3 linked regions of the Stegostoma tigrinum genome follow. The protein of the gene in region 2 purifies or fractionates together with the protein of the main gene of each other region. This does not show direct contact. Links are inferred from orthologs where the notes say so. Each region holds a gene or a part of one and is shown on either strand. Other genes may lie near its edges.

Region 1 (7,490 bases), on a different chromosome or scaffold from region 2:
AAATCTATGTAGTTTGCACCACCATGCAACCACTAGCAGTTCATCCTCCCCTCCTCAAAATGTTTTGTAGTTGCTCTATGACAACATTGACCCTCACATCAGGGGTGCAACATTCTATCCTGGAGTCTCAATTGCAGTCACCAAACTAATTCTCTTACAATTGAATCCCCTATAATGATTACATTCCCACACTTTTTACTCTTCCACTATGCAGCAAAGTCAACCATGGTGCACCAAATTTAGCTATTTCTGCCATTCCCCTCAACAGTGTCCAAAGAGGTTTATCTGCTTTGCAGGGTATAGTCACAGGAGACTCCTGCACTGCCTGCCTGGTCCCTTTGATCTTCCTGATGGTGACCATTCTCTTCGTCCATGGTGTGACTGCCTCTCTGTACATATTATCCACAATGAAGAATACTGGGCTTCCAGGAGCTATAGATAGAGACACTTCTCGCACAAATGCTACCATTGACTGACTTCTCACATTGAGAAGAAAGGGCACTCTGTAGCTCTGATCTCTCCTGGCAGTAGTTAAATTGAACTTTTCGGAAGATGCTTAATATCAAATAATGTTAATTACTCTAGGGTTCTTATTCCTGGTCCTATATCACTATAGAATTTAGTCCTTACAAACTATAAGCCACAGACAACAAAAAAAAAATCAATTAAAGCACCTCCCCTCACCCCAGCACTGAATTCCCATTGTGCTCCAATATCCCAGAAATACACACGCACCGTCTATCTGGTAGTCTCTCACTGAGGATGTGTTCTCTCCCAACTGTACCTGCTACCCATGTCCCTCGAGATAGAAGTGGTCACGGGTTTGGTAGGTGCTAAGGAACCTTGGTGAATCCCTGCACAGCATCTTGTAGATGATCCACACTGCTGCTACTGAGTATTGGTGGTAAAGGGAGAGAAGAGGTGAGCTGCAGGAATCCTAACCCCTCACTTCAGCAATTAAGAATGCACAATATCCATCAACTGGGGGGGGGGGGGGGGGGGGGAATTAGCACAAATATCAATAATAATCATTCTAAATTATAACAAAAACAAGTAGGCAACTGTTGAAATTAAATTTGGATGTTAGCCGTCATATTGATATTTCCTTGTGAATCTTTCAGTGCTGACATCTAGATGGTGACAGACACAAGCAAGCAGTGGATGTTTGACAAAACAAAAGTTCGCTCAATTCCAATTGAAAAGTTGTTTTGCTCTCTGTACAGATGCTGGCAAATGTGATGAGATTCTACACTTTTGTTTGTACCTCAGCTCTCCAGCATCTCCTGCAGTGTTTTGCCTTTGTTTTACATCAGTGGAGTTTGCAGGCTCACATTCCAAGGGCCATAGATAGCTAGGCTGAATGAACCCTTTGGTCAAAACATTGAGAAAACTGTGCAACTTGCTTGTGTCTTGAAGGCACTGTGTGGTCAGTGAGCAGGAGCCATGGGGTATGGAGTGCAACTCAAAGCTGAGCTGCTGGGCCTTCGGTGATCGAAGACCTGAACATGGATTGGAGGAGATGCAAGATCTGGGTCTGGTAATGGATAGGGACTGGACATGGGCACAGATTGCAGGGGGAGCTCTGTCCCTGGCAATGTTGGGAGGGTTGTGGGGTAGGGCTGCAGGCTGAGCCTGGAGGCAGCTTTCACTCTCTCTGAAGGGCCGAGGGTTCCCTCTCTGGGAGGGGATCGGGGTCTCTCTTTCTCCATCCCCATCAGGACTGGGCTCAGGATCAATCTCCCTCACTCAGGTGGGCGGGTGGGGCATCAGATCTCTCCGTCTCTCTCTCAGGAGAAGCCATGGTCGTCTGTCTGTCTCTCTTTCTCTCTCTCTCTCTGGAAGAGGGGGATCAGGATTCCTCCATCTCTCTCTCTCTCTCTCTGGGAGAGGGGGATCAGGGTTTCTCACTGTCTCTCTCTGGGAGAGGGGTATCAGGGTTTCCTCTCTCTCACTCGGGGAGAGGGGAATCAGGGTTTCTCTCTCTCTCTCTCTGGGAGAGGGGGGTCAAGGTTTTTTTTTCTCTCTCTCTCTGGAAGAGGGGGGTCAGGATTTCTCCATCTCTCTCTCTCTCTCTGGGAGAGGGGGATCAGGGTTTCTCTCTCCGTCTCTCTCTGAGAAGGAGGGATCAGGGTTTCTCTCTCCCTCTCTGGGAGGGGGATCAGGAATTCTCTGTCTCTCAGAGAGGGGGATCAGGGTTTCTCCCTCTCTCTGGGAGAGGGGAATCAGGGTTTCCCGCTCTCTCTCTGGGAGAAGGGGATCAGGGTCTCTCACTCTCTGGGCTGGGAGAGGGGAATCAGGATTTCTCTCTCTCTCTCTGGGAGAAGGTGATCAGGGTCTCTCACTCTCTCTGGGAGAGGGAGATCAGGGTTTCTCACTCACTCTCTCTCTGGGAGAGGGGGATCAGGGTTTCTCTCTCACTCTCTCTCTGGGAGAGGGGGAGCAGGGTTTCTCTCTCCCTCTGGGAGGGGCGAATTAGGGTTTCTATCTCTCTCTGGGAGGGGGATCAGGGTTTCTCTCTCTCTCACTCTCTGGGTGGGGGAACAGGGTCGCTCTCTCTCGGGGAGAGGTGGATCAGGGTTTCTCTCTCTCTCTCTCTGGGAGAGGGGGATCAGGGTTTCTCTCGCTCTCTGGGAATGGGGATCAGGGTTTCTCTCTCTCTGGGAGAGGGGGATCAGGGTTTCTCTCTCTCTCTCTCTGGGAGAGAGGGATCAGGGTTTCTCTCTCTCTCTCTCTAGGAGAGGGGGATCAGGGTTTTTCTCTCTCTCTCTCTGGGAGAGGGGGATCAGGGTTTTTCTCTCTCTCTCTGGGAGAGGGGGATCAGGGTTTCTCTCTCTCTCTCTAGGAGAGGGGGATCAGGGTTTTTCTCTCTCTCTCTCTGGGAGAGGGGGATCAGGGTTTTTCTCTCTCTCTGGGAGAGGGGGATCAGGGTTTTTCTCTCTCTCTCTGGGAGAGGGGGATCAGGGTTTTTCTCTCTCTCTCTGGGAGAGAGGGATCAGGGTTTCTCTCTCTCTGGGAGAGGGGGATCAGGTTTCTATCACTCTCTGGGAGAGGGGAATCAGGGTTTCTCTCTCTCTCTCTCTCTCTCTCTGGGAGAGGGGGATCAGGGTTTGTCTCTCTCTCTCTCTGGGAGAGGGGGATCAGGGTTTCTCTCTCTCTCTGGGAGAGGGTGATCAGGGTTTTTCTCTCTCTCTCTGGGAGAGGGGGATCAGGGTCTCTCTCTCTCTCTGGGAGAGGGGGATCAGGGTTTCTATCAGTCTCTGGGAGAGGGGGATCAGGGTTTCTATCTCTCTCTCTGGGAGGGGGAACAGGGTTTGTCTCTCTCTCGTGGAGAGGGGGATCAGGGTTTTTCTCTCTCTCTCTGGGAGAGGGGGATCAGGGTTTCTCTCTCTCTTGTGGAGAGGGGGATCAGGGTTTCTATCAGTCTCTGGGAGAGGGGGATCAGGGTTTCTCTCTCTCTCTCTCTGGGAGAGAGGGATCAGGGTTTCTCTCTCTCTCTCTCTCTAGGAGAGGGGGATCAGGGTTTTTCTCTCTCTCTCTCTGGGAGAGGGGGATCAGGGTTTTTCTCTCTCTCTCTGGGAGAGGGGGATCAGGGTTTCTCTCTCTCTCTCTCTAGGAGAGGGGGATCAGGGTTTTTCTCTCTCTCTCTCTGGGAGAGGGGGATCAGGGTTTTTCTCTCTCTCTGGGAGAGGGGGATCAGGGTTTTTCTCTCTCTCTCTGGGAGAGGGGGATCAGGGTTTCTCTCTCTCTCTCTGGGAGAGGGGGATCAGGGTTTCTATCTCTCTCTCTGGGAGAGGGGGATCAGGGTTTCTCTCTCTCTCTCTGGGAGAGGGGGATCAGGGTTTCTCTCTCTCTGGGAGAGGGGGATCAGGGTTTCTCTCTCTCTCTCTCTGGGAGAGGGGGATCAGGGTTTTTCTCTCTCTCTCTCTGGGAGAGGGGGATCAGGGTTTCTCTCTCTCTCTCTCTCTGGGAGAGGGGGATCAGGGTTTCTCTCTCTCTCTGGGAGAGGGGGATCAGGGTTTCTCTCTCTCTCGTGGAGAGGGGGATCAGGGTTTCTCTCTCTCTCTGGGAGAGGGGGATCAGGGTTTCTCTCTCTCTCTCTCTCTCTGGGAGAGGGGGATCAGGGTCTCTCTCTCTCTCTGGGCGTCTTCCCGCCGCCATCACTTTTGCCTGCCGTCTCCTTGGTAACAAAGGCCCCGCCTTCCCCGCGACGTCCTTACGTCACCGCATAGAAAGTGCTGGAACAAACTGTGTAACCGCCCGCCCCCGCAGCATCTCCCTCCGCTCTAAGTAAATATCCCGCTGTTCCAGCCACCTTTCTGGGGCTTTGTGTGTCCCCCCCGGTTTGGTGTCGGGGACAGGGCCCTGTGCGGGTTGTGCTTGTGCAGTATAGGGAGGGCCACTTCCGGAGGTCCAGGTCTTACCGCCATAGCCCTCCACCGCGGATTGATCTGTTCATCCGCGTGGGCGGTCCGGGTGTGATCCGGTCAGGACCATCAGGCCTAGCGTCAGCTTCGGCATCGTGTCCGGTCACCGGTAAATCCTGTCAGAGAGAGAGAGAAACACGGTAATTATACCCGGTATCGTGTCCGGTCACCGGTAAATCCTGTCAGAGAGAGAGAGAGAAACACGGTAATTATACCCGGTATCGTGTCCGGTCACCGGTAAATCCTGTCAGAGAGAGAGAGAGAAACACGGTAATTACACCCGGTATCGTGTCCGGTCACCGGTAAATCCTGTCAGAGAGAGAAACACGGTAATTATACCCGGTATCGTGTCCGGTCACCGGTAAATCCTGTCAGAGAGAGAGAGAAACACGGTAATTATACCCGGTATCGTGTCCGGTCACCGGTAAATCCTGTCAGAGAGAGAGAGAGAAACACGGTAATTATACCCGGTATCGTGTCCGGTCACCGGTAAATCCTGTCAGAGAGAGAGAGAAACACGGTAATTATACCCGGTATCGTGTCCGGTCACCGGTAAATCCTGTCAGAGAGAGAGAGAAACACGGTAATTATACCCGGTATCGTGTCCGGTCACCGGTAAATCCTGTCAGAGAGAGAGAAACACGGTAATTATACCCGGTATCGTGTCCGGTCACCGGTAAATCCTGTCAGAGAGAGAGAAACACGGTAATTATACCCGGTATCGTGTCCGGTCACCGGTAAATCCTGTCAGAGAGAGAGAGAAACACGGTAATTATACCCGGTATCGTGTCCGGTCACCGGTAAATCCTGTCAGAGAGAGAGAGAAACACGGTAATTATACCCGGTATCGTGTCCGGTCACCGGTAAATCCTGTCAGAGAGAGAGAGAGAAACACGGTAATTATACCCGGTATCGTGTCCGGTCACCGGTAAATCCTGTCAGAGAGAGAGAGAGAAACACGGTAATTACACCCGGTATCGTGTCCGGTCACCGGTAAATCCTGTCAGAGAGAGAGAAACACGGTAATTATACCCGGTATCGTGTCCGGTCACCGGTAAATCCTGTCAGAGAGAGAGAGAGAAACACGGTAATTATACCCGGTATCGTGTCCGGTCACCGGTAAATCCTGTCAGAGAGAGAAACACGGTAATTATACCCGGTATCGTGTCCGGTCACCGGTAAATCCTGTCAGAGAGAGAGAGAAACACGGTAATTATACCCGGTATCGTGTCCGGTCACCGGTAAATCCTGTCAGAGAGAGAGAGAGAAACACGGTAATTATACCCGGTATCGTGTCCGGTCACCGGTAAATCCTGTCAGAGAGAGAGAGAAACACGGTAATTATACCCGGTATCGTGTCCGGTCACCGGTAAATCCTGTCAGAGAGAGAGAGAAACACGGTAATTATACCCGGTATCGTGTCCGGTCACCGGTAAATCCTGTCAGAGAGAGAGAAACACGGTAATTATACCCGGTATCGTGTCCGGTCACCGGTAAATCCTGTCAGAGAGAGAGAGAGAAACACGGTAATTATACCCGGTATCGTGTCCGGTCACCGGTAAATCCTGTCAGAGAGAGAGAGAGAAACACGGTAATTATACCCGGTATCGTGTCCGGTCACCGGTAAATCCTGTCAGAGAGAGAGAAACACGGTAATTATACCCGGTATCGTGTCCGGTCACCGGTAAATCCTGTCAGAGAGAGAGAGAGAAACACGGTAATTATACCCGGTATCGTGTCCGGTCACCGGTAAATCCTGTCAGAGAGAGAGAGAAACACGGTAATTATACCCGGTATCGTGTCCGGTCACCGGTAAATCCTGTCAGAGAGAGAAACACGGTAATTATACCCGGTATCGTGTCCGGTCACCGGTAAATCCTGTCAGAGAGAGAAACACGGTAATTATACCCGGTATCGTGTCCGGTCACCGGTAAATCCTGTCAGAGAGAGAGAGAAACACGGTAATTATACCCGGTATCGTGTCCGGTCACCGGTAAATCCTGTCAGAGAGAGAGAAACACGGTAATTATACCCGGTATCGTGTCCGGTCACCGGTAAATCCTGTCAGAGAGAGAGAGAGAAACACGGTAATTATACCCGGTATCGTGTCCGGTCACCGGTAAATCCTGTCAGAGAGAGAGAGAGAAACACGGTAATTATACCCGGTATCGTGTCCGGTCACCGGTAAATCCTGTCAGAGAGAGAGAGAAACACGGTAATTATACCCGGTATCGTGTCCGGTCACCGGTAAATCCTGTCAGAGAGAGAGAGAGAAACACGGTAATTATACCCGGTATCGTGTCCGGTCACCGGTAAATCCTGTCAGAGAGAGAGAGAGAAACACGGTAATTATACCCGGTATCGTGTCCGGTCACCGGTAAATCCTGTCAGAGAGAGAGAGAAACACGGTAATTATACCCGGTATCGTGTCCGGTCACCGGTAAATCCTGTCAGAGAGAGAGAGAAACACGGTAATTACACCTGGTATCGTGTCCGGTCACCGGTAAATCCTGTCAGAGAGAGAGAGAAACACGGTAATTATACCCGGTATCGTGTCCGGTCACCGGTAAATCCTGTCAGAGAGAGAGAAACACGGTAATTATACCCGGTATCGTGTCCGGTCACCGGTAAATCCTGTCAGAGAGAGAGAGAAACACGGTAATTATACCCGGTATCGTGTCCGGTCACCGGTAAATCCTGTCAGAGAGAGAGAGAAACACGGTAATTATACCCGGTATCGTGTCCGGTCACCGGTAAATCCTGTCAGAGAGAGAGAGAGAAACACGGTAATTACACCTGGTATCGTGTCCGGTCACCGGTAAATCCTGTCAGAGAGAGAGAGAGAAACACGGTAATTATACCCGGTATCGTGTCCGGTCACCGGTAAATCCTGTCAGAGAGAGAAACACGGTAATTATACCCGGTATCGTGTCCGGTCACCGGTAAATCCTGTCAGAGAGAGAGAGAAACACGGTAATTACACCCGGTATCGTGTCCGGTCACCGGTAAATCCTGTCAGAGAGAGAGAGAAACACGGTAATTATACCCGGTATCGTGTCCGGTCAC
Region 2 (6,974 bases):
TGGGATTATAAGTGCCAAAGCACACTTAATACTGTGCAATAAAATGTGCATTTATAGTGGTGAATTTATGTAAGTTTCACTGATTAATAGAATTATTAATTATTAAAAACATTATTTGTTGTTTTCAATGCCAAAATTATAAATTTAAATTATACGTTCTACATTGTGTATTTCAACATTTTAATAAGATATCAATGGTTTATTTCATTATTCTTTGTGCTTTGGGTATATTACAGGAAATATGCAAAATGGAATTATTAGACGCCTCCACTATTTGACATCTCTGTAATACCAAAATCATGGATCGTGTAACGCATCACAAGTATACTCAAACATACACGTACTACTATTCTTTAATAAAGAAGCAACAGGCTTACATAAATTACTTCTTCAAAAGGCATCTTTCAAGACATAACATTTCCATTTATAGATGTAGTTATGACTTAACAAAATATTAATTATAGAAATCCAATTCAAAACTTGAGGAGAAAGCCTTTTCTAATATCTGCTGAGAAGAAGATCAACAGTGAAATCTGTTGAGTTAACAATCAGCAATGAAATCTGTTGAGTGAACAATGAACAGTGAAATCTGTTGAGTGAAAAATCAGCAATGAAATCTGTTGAGTGAACAATCAGCAGTGAAATCTGTTGAGTGACAAATCAGCAGTGAAATCTGTTTAGTGAACTATCAACACAAAAACACATAATTTATTCTCAATCCCTTAACAAATATGTTAAAAACCCAACAACGTCATAATATCAATTTAACTTTCCTACAGGGTTGAATGTATTTTTTAAATTTGATTTTTTTACCTAATTGTTAAGGATGAAAATAAAACAGTTCAAATTGATATGTGTACTCAAGGCTTGTTTCACAATTAAATTGCTTATCCTCACTGTACAATGGATTAAAATTCAATGTTTTTCAAACCAGTGCTTATTTACATCCTGGATCATTGGTCTCTGCAATAAAGTAACACCATCATCTGAAACCTTTACAGCCATGGTTAGACATATAAACTCTTAATCGCTATTCTAATGGAATTAACTGCAATCTGATCATTTCATGAAAAATGTTAAAACGAAGTAGATATTGTAAGTGTTGTTTCTTACAATGAAAAGAAAAAGTAGATTTACATCACTACATATGCTGTGAAGGCATTTTAAGATATATTCATAAATAATACTTACACATTATTTGCACTTCGGCTTTCTATGTTAGCTATGCAGTTCACACTATGTAGCTGTAATTTTTCAATGTATAGAGGATAGAAAGCACACCACAAAAGTTTGATGTTAGAAAGTACACTGAATTCAAGCAGACTACTAGATTGTTACTTTTAAAGACACAGATTTTGATTTCAAATGGTATCAGAGTGAACATTTTGCTTTCTTTGAAAATTGTAAAGCATTCTAATAGTAACAAAAAATTACAGTATTTTTGTAAGTTCCAAATCAATATATCAAACAATAAATTACCAGCATATTTCAGACTACAAAGAGTCATTAAGCTTATAAAACAGTTGAGTTGTAATGTCACTCTCACTTTCTATGTTTGCTATTTTAAAAATATTCTGCAAATATTTCTGTTATTACTCTAAAAGAGATTAAGCATCTAGTTAATTCAGTTCTGTAATAAGAATACACATCAATGCTTTCTTTCATACTTAGTCATAGATAGATAGTATACAGATTACATTTTTAATGTAATGTGTGTGAAGGTACAATTCCTTTCTCATGTTCCATTAATTTCAGAACTACTCCTTTTGTAGACAAGAGGTGAGTCATCTCTTGCCCTGCATTTAAGAACTGCATTGATATTCCTCAAAAATCAATTGCCTTGTTGTTGCTTTTCAAATGAAAGGTCAATTAAATGTTCAGTAATGTGAATAAACAACAGGTCATGTTTTGAAATGCCAAACAAAGAAAATATTAGGAATAAGCAGCACACAATAAAGTCTGTGTTGGAATATAGCTTCATAGTTTTGTTACATGTTGAATATGCTCAGGTTTTATTGAACAGATATGCTGATTTTATGACCATTGGTGTATTGTATTTCTCAATGTGCTTTCAAGCATCATTATTCAAGATATTTTCTAAGCTGTCATCATTTTTATTTTCAAATTTGAGTAGTTAATTTGCCACTTGCTCATTATAAAGTTTTTTAATTGAAAAGAAGTGACATTATTTTTCAAAATCTTTCAAAATCAAAAGATATTAACAACCTCCAACAAGAATCAATCATTAAAAAATTTAATCCCTATTTGTTATTCTATTTTACGTAAAGGATGAAACATAACACTATTAATTCTTAATGCTATTTTCCATAAAGATTATCATCTCTACTGATGCAAAAATTACTTTCCAAGTTGGATCAGTTTTAAAATGTATTTGTTTGTCAATACCAATTATATGAAATTTGTGTACAAATCTCTTTGAACTCTGCTCTTTGCCTCAGGGAACCTGTAAGGATCTTTGTGGGGTAAAAGGAGGTGTGGGGGAATGGGAGGAAAGGTCAGCTGCAACCACACAGGGACTACACTGTAACATAACTTTGGATTTGTCAGCATAGCTTTTAGATTAATCAAATTTGTTAAAGTACTTTTCACAATATCTATATCATACTGTAACCATATGTTAAAAAGGTATTGTAATTAACTGTGATTCTTTGCAATAAGCAGTATACTAATGTTTGACATTATAACTTTTTAAAAAATTGCGAACTACAAACACCACAACTCCTTTCAGAAATATCAAAAGTCTAAGACCTAAAAGAAAATAACATATTAATTTTATACATCTTTAAGGCTTTTAATTCTGATTATCAAATATTTTAGTTTATTTGATCATTTGGTTATCAAATATTTTATTTGAAATATAAATCAGCAGGTATAAATAACCTAACAATATTTTGGAGATTGGTTATACTTATGTTTGAGTGCAATAATGATGCTAATAAAAACATGAACATAAAAGCACGAAAATATGGGTTAGTTCTGGATTTTATAATACATGGCAATTGATACATGAGCTAATTTTGTATTTGTGTTAGGTAAATTTATTTACTAAATCATCAACACATAAACATTTTCTAAATGAATGAAACAGAAAGCTACATTTTAAGGAAATAATCATGTCTGTGAAACTTATTTTGAAATATGGTATATTGTTTGAAATATGTACATATACTATTTTGTAATATTAGACATTTGCTTTGGATTTTAATTGATTATTTTTTCAGTTAGTTACAAATTGCTAAAATAACATCAAAATCATTTTCTATAATTTCAAGTATTTAAAATCATTACTAACTTGCCTTTAGTGTTTTACAAATTAGGTTTTTTTCTGCATATTGCTACTGACTTGCACCTTTCATTTTCGTCCTCTCACTTTTCATTTTAACATCGTCGTAAACTGTAAAAGGGAAATATAGAGGACGACTTACCAAAACAAAAGCCTTTAGCCACAGGACTGTTTGGTAGCCCCAGTTGCCAACGCATCTTTTAAAAAAAAAGCGTAGATTTAGCTGATTTCTGAAGTGTAGATTATATTGAATATTTGCGACAACAGGGTCAGGCTGGAATCTTGTTTCAGATGTATACACATATAAATCATCATGACACATAAATGAGCAATCTTTGAAGGTTTTTTTTCGGAGAAATAAACCGATTCACGTTTCCTGGAATGGAGCAAGTTTTAAACAAGTTCTAGATTTTCAATGCAGGTATTGATGTTGTACCCCGCTCTGGCCCCACTTGATTAGTGCAGTTTGGCTTCAATAACCTTTAAGCTTTGAGTGCTCATGCAAATTGAGTAATCAACTGCAATGTTTGAATTCAGAAAAATGCTCAATGTTTCTTCCACGGTAGGCAAATCTACATTTTATGTATACGTATATATTAGTAGTGTACCGCTGGTATATTGAAACGTGATCTATTTCCCTTTAAGTATTGTGGGTAAAAGAGTTGCTGTGTGACAGACCCCTTCGGACGTGTTGGTTTGAAGAAAGTAAACGTTGTTTTGTAGGTTTAGCTCTGCCCTGTTTACTGATTATCCGCTAGCGTTTGAACTGGCCACTTTCACATCACTTTCGGGGGCAAGGGAACAAAATCCTACACATTTCAGATTAGTAGCTGGCAACGTTGGCAAGGGCAAATGAATTGGCAGTAACAGGATATGCGGTACGTATGCATCGTGAACTTTATATCACTTTTGATTGTTGTTGGCATAAGTCTGAACTCTGCAAGTTCACGAACAAGAGTGCTAATATGCCGTTCGATTGCAATACTTTTTGCAAGCTAAGGGAACAAAAGGGTCGGAATCCAGCGGGACATTAGCCAAGGGTTTAACTGGCTTAACTTCTCCAAAAGTTAACTGAGCTGAACCGTTAGCGTGATCCAGGAAGCAGGAATTGTTTTTTTTCTTTTTTTTAATGAGGAGAAAGTGTGTTGGTGGTTGGTGGCGAGGAGAGGCGAGGGGTGCGGGGGGGGGGGCGGGGGAGGAAGCTTATGTTGCGTTGTGTAGGCTTTAAGTTTCTCTTCCTTTCGGGTCTGCTGGAACTTGACAGTGAGAAACGAAAGGGACATTGAGCGGAGAGTGCAAGAGAGAGAGAGAGTGAATGAGTGAGTTGGGAAGAGAAAAAGGCCGGGCGGCATTTCGCCTTTGTTGTTTGAGGAATGCGGAAATGTTGATGCTCTGTGTCAACTGCTGAAGGGGGGTCACATTCAGGCGTCGTGGGAAAGAAAAGGCAGCAGCACTGCTCTCTCTTTCTTCGACAAGGGCTAGAGGAGAACGAAATCCTCAGGATAAAAAGAGAAAGAGGCGGGGGGGAGTGATGAAGTTGGTGGTGGAGACAGAAACTCTCCACCCCGGCTGCCTACAAGATACATGTATATATACTGCTCTGTTCGGCAACAAAAAAGTATATTTACTCGACGAGTTCTGCAGATTACATGGTCTGCGCCGACTTTTTTTTCGCTTTTGCGTCAATTGCAATCTGTCCTCCATACCCCCCACCCCAAATGACAGATTTCCTCGTTCACACGCCACAAAGTGTGCAGCATCTACCTGTGTGGCCGAGTCTTTAGCGATCAGGGCTGGCTGTCCCATTATGCTCTCGACTGTGGAAGCATTTTAAAAAAACCTTTTTTTAGATAAAAGTGCGGGGCTTGAGCTTCACCATAGCTGTAATAATCGAAGCTGCGTCCTGGCCGGTGCTCTCAATACATGCTTAGAATCAGGTATATTGTTTTAATTCAAGAAGACTTAGATTTTCGGCAGGGTATTATATATATATGTATAATATATATTTAAAGCTGCATGGTGTTTTCAACGTGGGGTCTTGTCTCATCAATATTCTGGATGACAAATGCAATGGGGCGGCCCATGCTTGCTGAGACATGTAGTGTTCCCCTGAGTTCAGCATTTGTCTTGTGCCACACAATCCCACAAGCAGCATTGCCAAAAACCCACCGACGGCTGGCACTAGGGAGCTGGCTGTCAGTCTCGGTGACAGATCGAGATTTGAGGTGGGTTGGTTGTGGGGGAAGGAGGTGAGGTGAAACGAAAGCCTCTCTTTATACCTGTTTATTTATACAGGAGCAGCGGAAAGGCTATCCGTTCGCAACCCCGTGGGTACAGTGGATGCGGGAGGAAAAAAATCCTGCGGGAATCTTTTGGGAATTACTAATTCCCACCCCACCCCCCACACGGTTAAAATTAAAGGCAAAGTGACTGACGGAAAATAAACTTCATTATGGGGGGGGTGAGGTGATCAAAGCTGCACCGGGGTAAATTGTTTGTTTAAGCTGGCGGCTCTCTGGCTGCCTGTTAGTTTGAACTATTTGTTTTGTACACAATCTTTTGCCAGTAGCACGTGTTGAAGGTGGTCGCTGTGCGCATGCTTTGGAAAGTTAGGATCCCGGTCGGCGGCTGCAGTGAGCGGGAGTGTGTGTGTTTGGATACCCGGGGCTGCAGCTGCTCTCCCTTTGCCGAGGGCCAGCTGCTCGCCCCTTTCCACTCATGTCTTCTCGCGGGGAACCGAGCTTTCGAGGCATCGCTGCAAAACTTTCAATGGTAGAGCGTCGTCCTCATGACTGGACACATTAACTTTCTGTCAACTCGGCTAACGTGTTGCTTCAACAAAAAAAAGAAACGCCCCATTAGCCAGCTGCCCATGCATTTTCACTTTACATCCCGCAAAAGTTTTCTTCAATATGCATTGTCATTATCAATCACTTGTTCTCTTCGCTTTCCAGATGTGACTGGCCCGACTGTACCCAAACTTGTTTCCGTCTATGTGTGAAGGGCAGCGCGGGGATCCGAACTCGGCGCCATGGAGGGGAAAGAGGCGAGTTTCTCCGACCGCTACGAACCGGTGGCCGAGATCGGGGAGGGGGCGTACGGTAAGGTTTACAAGGCCAGAGACAGGAACAACGAAGGTCGCTTCGTGGCTCTGAAGAAAGTGCGAGTTCAGACCGGGGAAGAAGGGATGCCTCTCTCCACCATCCGGGAGGTGGCTGTACTGAGGCAACTCGAGTCCTTCGAGCATCCCAACGTGGTCAGGTGAGGAGAGGGAGACACTGCCATTGAATTGGTGGGGAGGTGTAATTTCACCACAGTTCTGCACCCCCGCCCCCCCCCCTCCCCAGTGGCGCCGGGAAGCTCAATTTCCACGACCTATGTTTGGCCCCTGAGGAGGGGCGAGTGTAGTTTCAAGTCAGACCTTTGGCATGGATCATTTCTCAACCTGGGAGTTTACTGTGACCAACCTGGGATTTGTTTGTGAAAGGACCCCGAATTGTGAGAGATCTATATGTGAGTGCGCGCGCACACACACACACATGCTTTTCTGGAAAAGTTAGTGTGTCGTGTGATCAGTCAAGTGCGAAAACATCAAAAATGTTCACCAGTCCCACCCGCAGTAACACTGTGCTTCCTCTGGCAGACATTTAGTGAAATTATACCAATAAAA
Region 3 (8,057 bases), on a different chromosome or scaffold from region 2:
TTTGGGGGTGTCTGATCCTATGAACCGGTTTTTGGGGTGGTCTGATCCTGTGGACTGGTTTTTAGGGGCGTGTCTGATCCTATGGACTTTTTTTTCGAGGGGGGGGTCTGATCCTACGGACTTTTTTGGGGGGAATTCTGATTGTATGGACTGGTTTGGGGGTGGGTCTGAGCCGATGGACTGGCTTTTTTTGGGGTGTCTGATCCTATTGTCTTTTGGGGGATTTTGATCCTATAGATTGTTTTTTTTAGAGGGACCTGATCCTAGGGATTGGTTTTAGGGGCTTCTGATCTTATTGACTGGGTTTTTTTGGGGTGGGTGTCTGATTCTATTGATTGTCTTTTCGAGGGGTTCTAATCCAATGGTTTTTTTTAGAGGGATCTGATCTTAGGGACAGGTTTTCGGGTGTTCCGATTCTATTGACTGGTATTTTTTGTGGGGCTTAATGTCAGATCCTATTGATTGTTTTTTGAGGGGATCTGATCCTCTTGACCGGTTCTGGGAGGGTCTTATGCTATGGACTGTTTTGGGGGGGGGGGGTGCGGGGCGGTCTGATCCTGTGGACTTTTTTGCGGGGGTTATATCCTCTGGACTGGTTTATGGGGAGAGTTTGATCCTAGGGACTGGTTTTGTGCGGGGAGGGTTCTGTCCTATGCACTGTTTTTGGGAGGGGGTCAGATCCAATTGACTGCTTTTGGGGGGGGGTATGATCCTAGTGACTGGTTTTTGTGGGGTCTGATCCTATGGACTTTTTTTGGCCGTCTGATCCGAATGACTGGGTTTTGAGGGGGGTTCTGATCCTATGGACCAATTTTTGGAGGGATCCGATCCAACTGACTGGTTTTGTGGGAGTTCTGATTCTCAGGAGAGGTTTTTGGGCGGAGTCTGACCCTATGGACTGGTTTTTAGGGGCGTGTCTGATCCTGTGGACTAGTCTGATTCTAGGTACTGGTCTTGGGGAGTTCTGATCTGAGGGAGTGGTTTTTGTGGGGGGAGAGTCTGATCTTGTGGACTGGCTTTTTGGGGTCGTGTCTGATGCTAGGGACTGGTTTTTGGGAGGGTGGTCTGATCCTAGGGACTGGTTTTTGTTGGGGGGCGGTGTGTCTGATCCTGTGGACTGGTTTTTGGGAGGGTGGTCTGATCCTAGGGACTGGTTTTTGTGGGGGGGGAGTATGTCTGATCCTGTGGACTGGTTTTTGGGAGGGTGGTCTGATCCTAGGGACTGGTTTTTGTGGGGGGGTGTGTCTGATCCTGTGGACTGGTTTTTGGGAGGGTGGTCTGATCCTAGGGACGGGTTTTTGTGAGGGGGGTTCTGGTCCAAGGGACTGGTTTTTGGGAGGGGGGTGTGTGAATCCGAGGGACTGGTTTTTATGAGGGGGATCTGATTCTGAAGGACTTGTTTTTGTCGGGGGTCTGATTCTGAGGGACTGGCTTTTGGGGATGGGGTGTCTGATCCTAGGGACTGGTTTTTGGGAGGGGGTCTGATCCTAGGGACTGGTTTTTAGGAGGGGGGTGTCTGATTCCGAGGGACTGGTTTTTGGAGGGGTCTGATCCGAGGAACTGGTTTTTGGGAGGGGGTGTCTGATCCTAGGGACTGGTTTTTGGGAGGGGTGTCTGATCCGAGGGACTGGTTTTTGGGAGGGAGGGGTCTGATCCGAGAGTCTGGTTTTTGGGAGGGGTGTCTGATCCGTGGGACTGGTTTTTGGGGGGCGTGGTCTGATCTGAGTGACTGGTTTTTGGGAAGGGGGTGTCTGATCCTAGGGACTGGTTTTTGGGAGGAGTGCCTGATCCTAGCGACTGGTTTTTGGAGGTGTTTGATTCCGATGACTAGTTTTTGAGGGGGGAGGTCTGATCCAGTGGTCTGGTTTCTGGGGGGTGTCTGATCCCACGGATAGATTTTTGGAGGTGTCTGATCCGAGGGACTGGTTTTTAGGGGGGGGGTGTCTGATCCAAGGGACTGGTTTTGGTGGGGGGGGGGGTGTCTGATTCTGAGGGACTGATTTTTCGGAGGAGTGTGTCTGATTCCGAGGGACTGGTTTTTGGTGGGTGTCTGATCCGAGGGACTGGTTTTTGGGAGGGGGGTCTGATCCTAGGGACTGGTTTTTGGAGGGGTCTGATCCTAGGGACTGGTTTTTGGGAGGGGGGGTCTGATCCGAGGGAATGGTTTTTGGCAGGGGTGTCTGATCCGTGGGACTGGTTTTTGGGGGTGGCGTCTAATCCTAGGGACTGCTTTTTGGGAGGGCGGTGTCTGATCCTAGGGACTGGTTTTTGGGAGGCGGGGTCTGATCCAAGGGACTGGTTTTTGGGAGGGGGGTTTGATCTGTGGGACTGGTTTTTGGGGGCGGGTCTGATCCTAGGGACTGGTTTTTGGGCGGGGGGTGTCTGATCTTAGGTACTGGTTTTTGGGATGGGGTGTCTGATTCCGAGGGACTGGTTTTTGGGAGGGGGTGTCTGATCCTAGGGACTGGTTTTTGGAGGTGTTTGATCTCGATGACTAGTTTTTGAGGGCGGGGGTCTGATCCTATGGTCTGGTTTCTGGGGGGAGTCTGATCCCACGGATAGATTTTTGGGGCTGTCTGATCCTTGGGACTGGTTTTTTTGGGGTGGTATAATCCTGTGGACTGGTTTTTGCGGTGGGTCTGATCCTAGGGACTCTTTTTTGGGTGGATCTGATCCTGTGGACTGGTTTTGGCGGGGGTGTTTACAATCCTAGTGACTGTTTTTTGTGGGGTCTGATTCTATGGACTTGTTTTTTTGGCCGTCTGATCCGAAGGACTGGGTTTTGAGGGGGTTCTGATCCTATGGACCAATTTTTGGAGGGATCAGATCAAATTGACTGGTTTTGGGGAGTTCTGATTCTCGGGACCGGGTTTTGGGGGGAGTCTGTCCCTATGGACTGGTTTTTAGGGGCGTGTCTGATTCTGTGGACTGGTCTGATTCATCATGGGCCTCCTGCACTGCCACAATGATGCCACCCAAAGGTTGCAGGAACAGCAACTCATATTCCGCCTGGGAACCCTGCAGCCATATGGTATCCATGTGGACTTCACCAGTTTCAAAATCTCCCCTTCCCCTACTGCATCCCTAAACCAGCCCAGTTCATCCCCTCCCCCCACTGCACCACACAACCAGCCCAGCTCTTCCCCCCCACCCACTGCATCCCAAAACCAGTCCAACCTGTCTCTGCCTCCCTAACCGGTTCTTCCTCTCACCCATCCCTTCCTCCCACCCCAAGCCGCACCCCCAGCTACCTACTAACCTCATCCCACCTCCTTGACCTGTCCGTCTTCCCTGGACTGACCTATCCCCTCCCTACCTCCCCACCTACACTCTCTCCACCTATCTTCTTTACTCTCCATCTTCGGTCCGCCTCCCCCTCTCTCCCTATTTATTCCAGTTCCCTCCCCCCATCCCCCTCTCTGATGAAGGGTCTAGGCCCGAAACGTCAGCTTTTGTGCTCCTGAGATGCTGCTTGGCCTGCTGTGTTCATCCAGCCTCACATTTTATTATCTTGGAATCTCCAGCATCTGCAGTTCCCATTATCTCTGATTCTAGGTACTGGTTTTGGGGTGTTCTGATCTGAGGGACTGGTTTTTGTGGGGGGAGTGTCTGATCGTGTGGACTGGGTTTTGGGGGGAAGGGTCCGATCCTAGGGACTGGTTTTTGGGAGGGGTGTCTGATCCAAGGGACTGGTTTTTGTGAGGGGGTGTCTGATCCTAGAGACTGGTTTTTGGGAGTGGGTGTCTGATCCTAGGGACTGGTTTTTGGGAGGGGGGGTCTGATCCGAGGGAATGGTTTTTGGCTGGGGTGTCTGATCCTAGGGACTGCTTTTTGGGAGGGGGGTGTCTGATCCTAGGGACTGGTTTTTGGGAGGAGTGTCTGATCCGAGGGACTGGTTTTTGGGAGGGGCGGTCTGATTCCGAGGGACTAGTTTTTGGGGTGGGGTTGTCTGATCCGTGGGACTGGTTTTTGGGGGGGTGCCTGATCCGAGGGACTGGTTTTTTGGGGGGTTGTCTGATCCGAGCGTATGGTTTAATGGGGCGGGGTCTGATCCAAGGGACTGGTTTTTGTCGGGGGGTGTCTGATTCAGAGGGACTCCGTGTTGGGAGGGGGTCTGATCGTAGGGACTGGGTTTTGGGGGGGTTGTCTGATCCGAGCGACTGGTTTTTGGGGGTGTGCCTGATCCTCGGGACTGGGTTTTGGAGGGGTGTCTTATCCGAGGGACTAGTTTTTGGAGGGGGTGTCTGATCCTAGGGACTGGTTGTAGGGAGGGGGTGTCTGACCCTTGGGACTGGATTTTGGGAGAGGTGTGTCTGATCCTTGGGACTGGCTTTTGGGAGGGGCTGTCTGACCCTTGGGACTGGATTTTGGGAGGGGTGTGTCTGATCCTAGGGACTGGTTTTTGGGGTGGATCTGATCCTGTGGACTGGTCTTTGGAGGTGTTTGATCCCGATGACTAGTTTTTGAGAGGGGGTCTGATCCTGTGGACTGGTTTTTTGGCGGGGGGGGGCTCTGTTCGTAGTGTCTGGTTTTTGGAGGGGGTATAAGCCTGTTGACTGGATTTTGGGCTGGGACTGATCCTGTGGACTGGTTTTTGGAGGTTTTTGAGGGGGGGGTCTGATCCTGTGGTCTGGTTTCTGGGGGGTGTCTGATCCCACGGATAGATTTTTGGGGGTGTCTGATCCTATGGACTGTTTTTGGAGTGGTCTATTCCTGTGGCCAGTTTTTGGGGTGGTCTAATTCCTGTACACTGGATGTTGGTAGGGGTTCCGATCCTGTGGATTGGTTTTTGGGGCGCGACTGATTTTAGGGACTGGATTTTGGGGCGGGATTGATTTTAGGGCGGGACTGATTTTTGGGGCCGGGGTCTGCTCCTGGGCCTGCTGTGTCCACCCAGCCCCACACTTTGTTATCTTGGGTTCTCCAGCATCTGCAGTTCCCATTATCTCTGATCCTCGGGACTGGTTTTGCCGTCCCGACAAGGGAGACGTTGACATCATGGAGCTGGGCGGTGACAGTCGGCGGAAGTGACGTGTGTCCGGAAGTGACGTGTAGAGAGGCGGCCCAGCGAGTGTTCTAGAAGCTGGGCCTGGGACAATTGGAGACGGGGAAACGATGGTGGATTATAGCGTGTGGGACCATATCGAGGTGTCGGATGATGAGGACGACACCCACCCGAACATTGACACGGCCAGCCTGTTCCGCTGGCGGCACCAGGTAAACTCCGGGGCCGGGCACCTCCATTCCCCCCACCACCAGGGCCGGCTTCCATCTATCCCGTCCCCATCACCTTCTTAAACCCCCGGGCCCTGATACACCCCCCATCCTCATCTCCTTCAAATAGTCCCGGATTGACCCCCCCGCCGCTTCGGTAGACTTCGTTCCCCTCTGTCCGACCTCCCAACAGCCTTCCCTCCAGCGGCGACGCCCCACAACCCCCACCACCACCACCAGCCCACCTCCAACCCCCCGACCACCACCTCCTCCCCCCACCACCTCGTCCACCACCCCCCACCACCACTTCCTCGTCCACCACCACCTCCTCGTCCACCCCCACCCTGCCCACACTCCTTTCATTACCTGAAATTCTTGATCCCTCCATTTAGATTTCCACAAGACCTTTGACAAGGTGTTGCACAGGTCTCTGAGTAGGATCCCATGGTGTTAGGGCACGGAAAGGGGATTGGCTCTCCAGGCAGAGTTGGGGGCTCAAGGGCCCTTTTTCAGGATGGCAGCCACTGACTAGTGGACTTCCTCACAGCTCAGTGTTGGGACCGCAGCTATTCATGTCATGCATTAACAAAGAAACTGATGGCATATTTGGTCTTTTTTTTTGTTTATTCATGCTTGGGATGAGATGGGATTTATTGCCCATCCTAATTGTCTAGACACCACTTATGAGTCAACCACATGACTCTGCGTCTCGAGCCACGTATAGATCAGACTGGCTAAGGATGCCAGTTCTTTTCCCTGAAGGACATCACTGAACCAGATGGGTTTTTCTGACACTTGACAATAGTTTCTTGATTTTCATTAGACTCTTAATTACAGATTTTTTTATTGAATTCAAATTCCACATCTACTGTGACAGGATTTAAACCTGGGTCTCCAAGACATTACTTGTGTTTCTGCATTAACAGTCCAGCAATAATACCGCATGGCCATAGTCTATGCTTTTGCACATGATATTAAGATCGATGGAGGCAGATAGTGTTGAGGAGGTGCTGAATCTACAGAAGGACCTGGACCGACTGGATGAGTGTGCACCAAAGTAGCTGGTGAAATGCAACACAAGGAAGAATAGAGAGTCAACTGTGACTTACTCTGCCTTTTTCACATGAGTTGGACGTCTTTAATTGTTAATCATCTGGTGTCACAATTTCCTAACAAGAATGATTTGAAATTGCGGTTTTGGGTTGCTAGCACAATATTTTCTAAATGTCCAAAGGCTTCGGAAATCTGAAGCACAAAGGGACTTGGGCATCCTAGTTCAGGATTCTGTTGACATGCAGGCTCATTTTACAGTTAGGAGGACATATTTGCTTTCGTTTCAAATGAATTGGAATACCAGAGTGCAGATGTGCTGTTGTGTTTGTATAAAGTTCTGGCAAGACCACATCTGGAGTATTGTGAGCAATTCTGGACTTCGTATCCACGGAAGGATGTATTGTCTTGGGAGGCAGTCCAGAGGTGACTGACAGGAGTGACCCCAGGGCTGATGGGCTTGTCGTATGAGCAATGGTTGAGGAGTCTGAGTCTGTACTACATGGATTTCAGAAGGATGAAGGGGGATTCTCATTGAAACTTGGAGAATGTTAAGAGGTCTGGATGGAATGGGTGTAGATAAGATGTTACCACGTAGCAAAGGTGAGGACCTGAGGCTCAAACTCAGAATGAAGGGATAACCCTTTAGAACTGAGACTGGGAAAAATTTCTTCAGCCAGAGGGTGGTGAATCTGTGTAACTTATTGTTGCTGAAAGCTGTTGAGACCTAGTCATTCTTTCTCTTTAAGACAGGTAGATTCTTGATCAGTGAGGGGATCAGGGAAGAAGGCAAGAGAGTGGTATTGAGACATTATCAGCCATGACTGAGTAGTGGAGCAGACACACTGTGCTGAATGGCCTAGTTCTGCTCCAATATCTTTTGCTGAGAGAAACTCTTTTTTTCTTTCTTGTCATTCTGTATTCCCATAAAAAGTTAACACCTTCTAGCATAGCTTGTGGAAGATCATACTGAATCCTGAAATATAACACTCGAATTGTATTGGTCAGCATGACTATTTCTTACTCTGCCTTTTAAAATCAGTTGGGACCATTTTAATAGTTAATTTTCTGGTGTCACAGTTTTTTAGAATGATGAAAATTGTGGTTTTTGGGTTCCTAGCAGAATATTGTAACTTTGTTAGCAGCATACTTTATTTTGTACTTGTTGTATTCTTTCCTCCACAATGTATGTTGAGCAGAAATCCCTCATTCGGCTTCAAAGTGAAGCTATAGATAAGTATGTAGGAATGGTTTGTTTTCTTGGTGTCAAGTCTTGTGTACATTTGTTCCAACTTGAGATGCTTGGTTTATTTAAATCTGGTGAGTCTGAGCGAATAGCTGGTTGAACAAAAGCTTCAGATATGGTGAGGTTGTTGAACACATTCATGTCATGCCGGAACTGATCTGATGTGATGAAGCTGAAAAACAATGACCTTGATGGAGTACAAGGACCATGTTGAACAATCGAATCACAGACTTCAGAAAGGAAGTCTCCTTCTCGTTAGCCTTTTCATTAGGGGGTCTGTTTCCAGACAAAACAGGTGCCACTCCTTTTAACCTTTGGGGAGAGGAGGCTGGAGAGTCTTGAATCTGGGACTTTGATCATTGTACAGCAATATTCACTGGCAAGGTGGCCATGTCACTGAACTAATAATCTAGAGCCCCAGGGTAATATTCTGGGGGCATGGTAGGTGAAGTTTTGAACTTTGGAATTAGAAAGCTAAACTAATAGTAACCATTGTACTGTCAATTGTTGTAAAAAACCCTCTAACTAGTCCTTTTCGAGGAGAAAG

The links.
Region 1: the proteins of cdk6 (region 2) and hsp90ab1 purify together in Homo sapiens (co-immunoprecipitation; 4 studies listed by BioGRID and IntAct, with this or other methods). This does not show direct contact. The link is inferred for Stegostoma tigrinum from reciprocal best matches to the Homo sapiens genes CDK6 and HSP90AB1.
Region 3: the proteins of cdk6 (region 2) and cdc37 purify together in Homo sapiens (affinity purification with western blotting; 5 studies listed by BioGRID and IntAct, with this or other methods). This does not show direct contact. The link is inferred for Stegostoma tigrinum from reciprocal best matches to the Homo sapiens genes CDK6 and CDC37.

Annotation. Positions count from the first base shown.
Region 1 is NC_081357.1:1,517,790-1,525,279, forward strand, and holds the start of hsp90ab1 (heat shock protein HSP 90-beta), read left to right. Parts: upstream 1-4,457; 5' UTR 4,458-4,516; intron 4,517-7,225; 5' UTR 7,226-7,275; intron 7,276-7,490. UniProt on the Homo sapiens protein: Molecular chaperone that promotes the maturation, structural maintenance and proper regulation of specific target proteins involved for instance in cell cycle control and signal transduction. Undergoes a functional cycle linked to its ATPase activity.
Region 2 is NC_081355.1:77,668,772-77,675,745, reverse strand, and holds the start of cdk6 (cyclin-dependent kinase 6), read left to right. Parts: upstream 1-3,966; 5' UTR 3,967-4,182; intron 4,183-4,517; exon of another isoform or gene 4,518-4,623; intron 4,624-5,111; exon of another isoform or gene 5,112-5,241; intron 5,242-5,918; exon of another isoform or gene 5,919-6,076; intron 6,077-6,258; 5' UTR 6,259-6,335; coding exon 6,336-6,565; intron 6,566-6,974. UniProt on the Homo sapiens protein: Serine/threonine-protein kinase involved in the control of the cell cycle and differentiation; promotes G1/S transition. Phosphorylates pRB/RB1 and NPM1.
Region 3 is NC_081388.1:22,687,536-22,695,592, forward strand, and holds the start of cdc37 (hsp90 co-chaperone Cdc37), read left to right. Parts: upstream 1-5,024; 5' UTR 5,025-5,115; coding exon 5,116-5,217; intron 5,218-8,057. UniProt on the Homo sapiens protein: Co-chaperone that binds to numerous kinases and promotes their interaction with the Hsp90 complex, resulting in stabilization and promotion of their activity. Inhibits HSP90AA1 ATPase activity.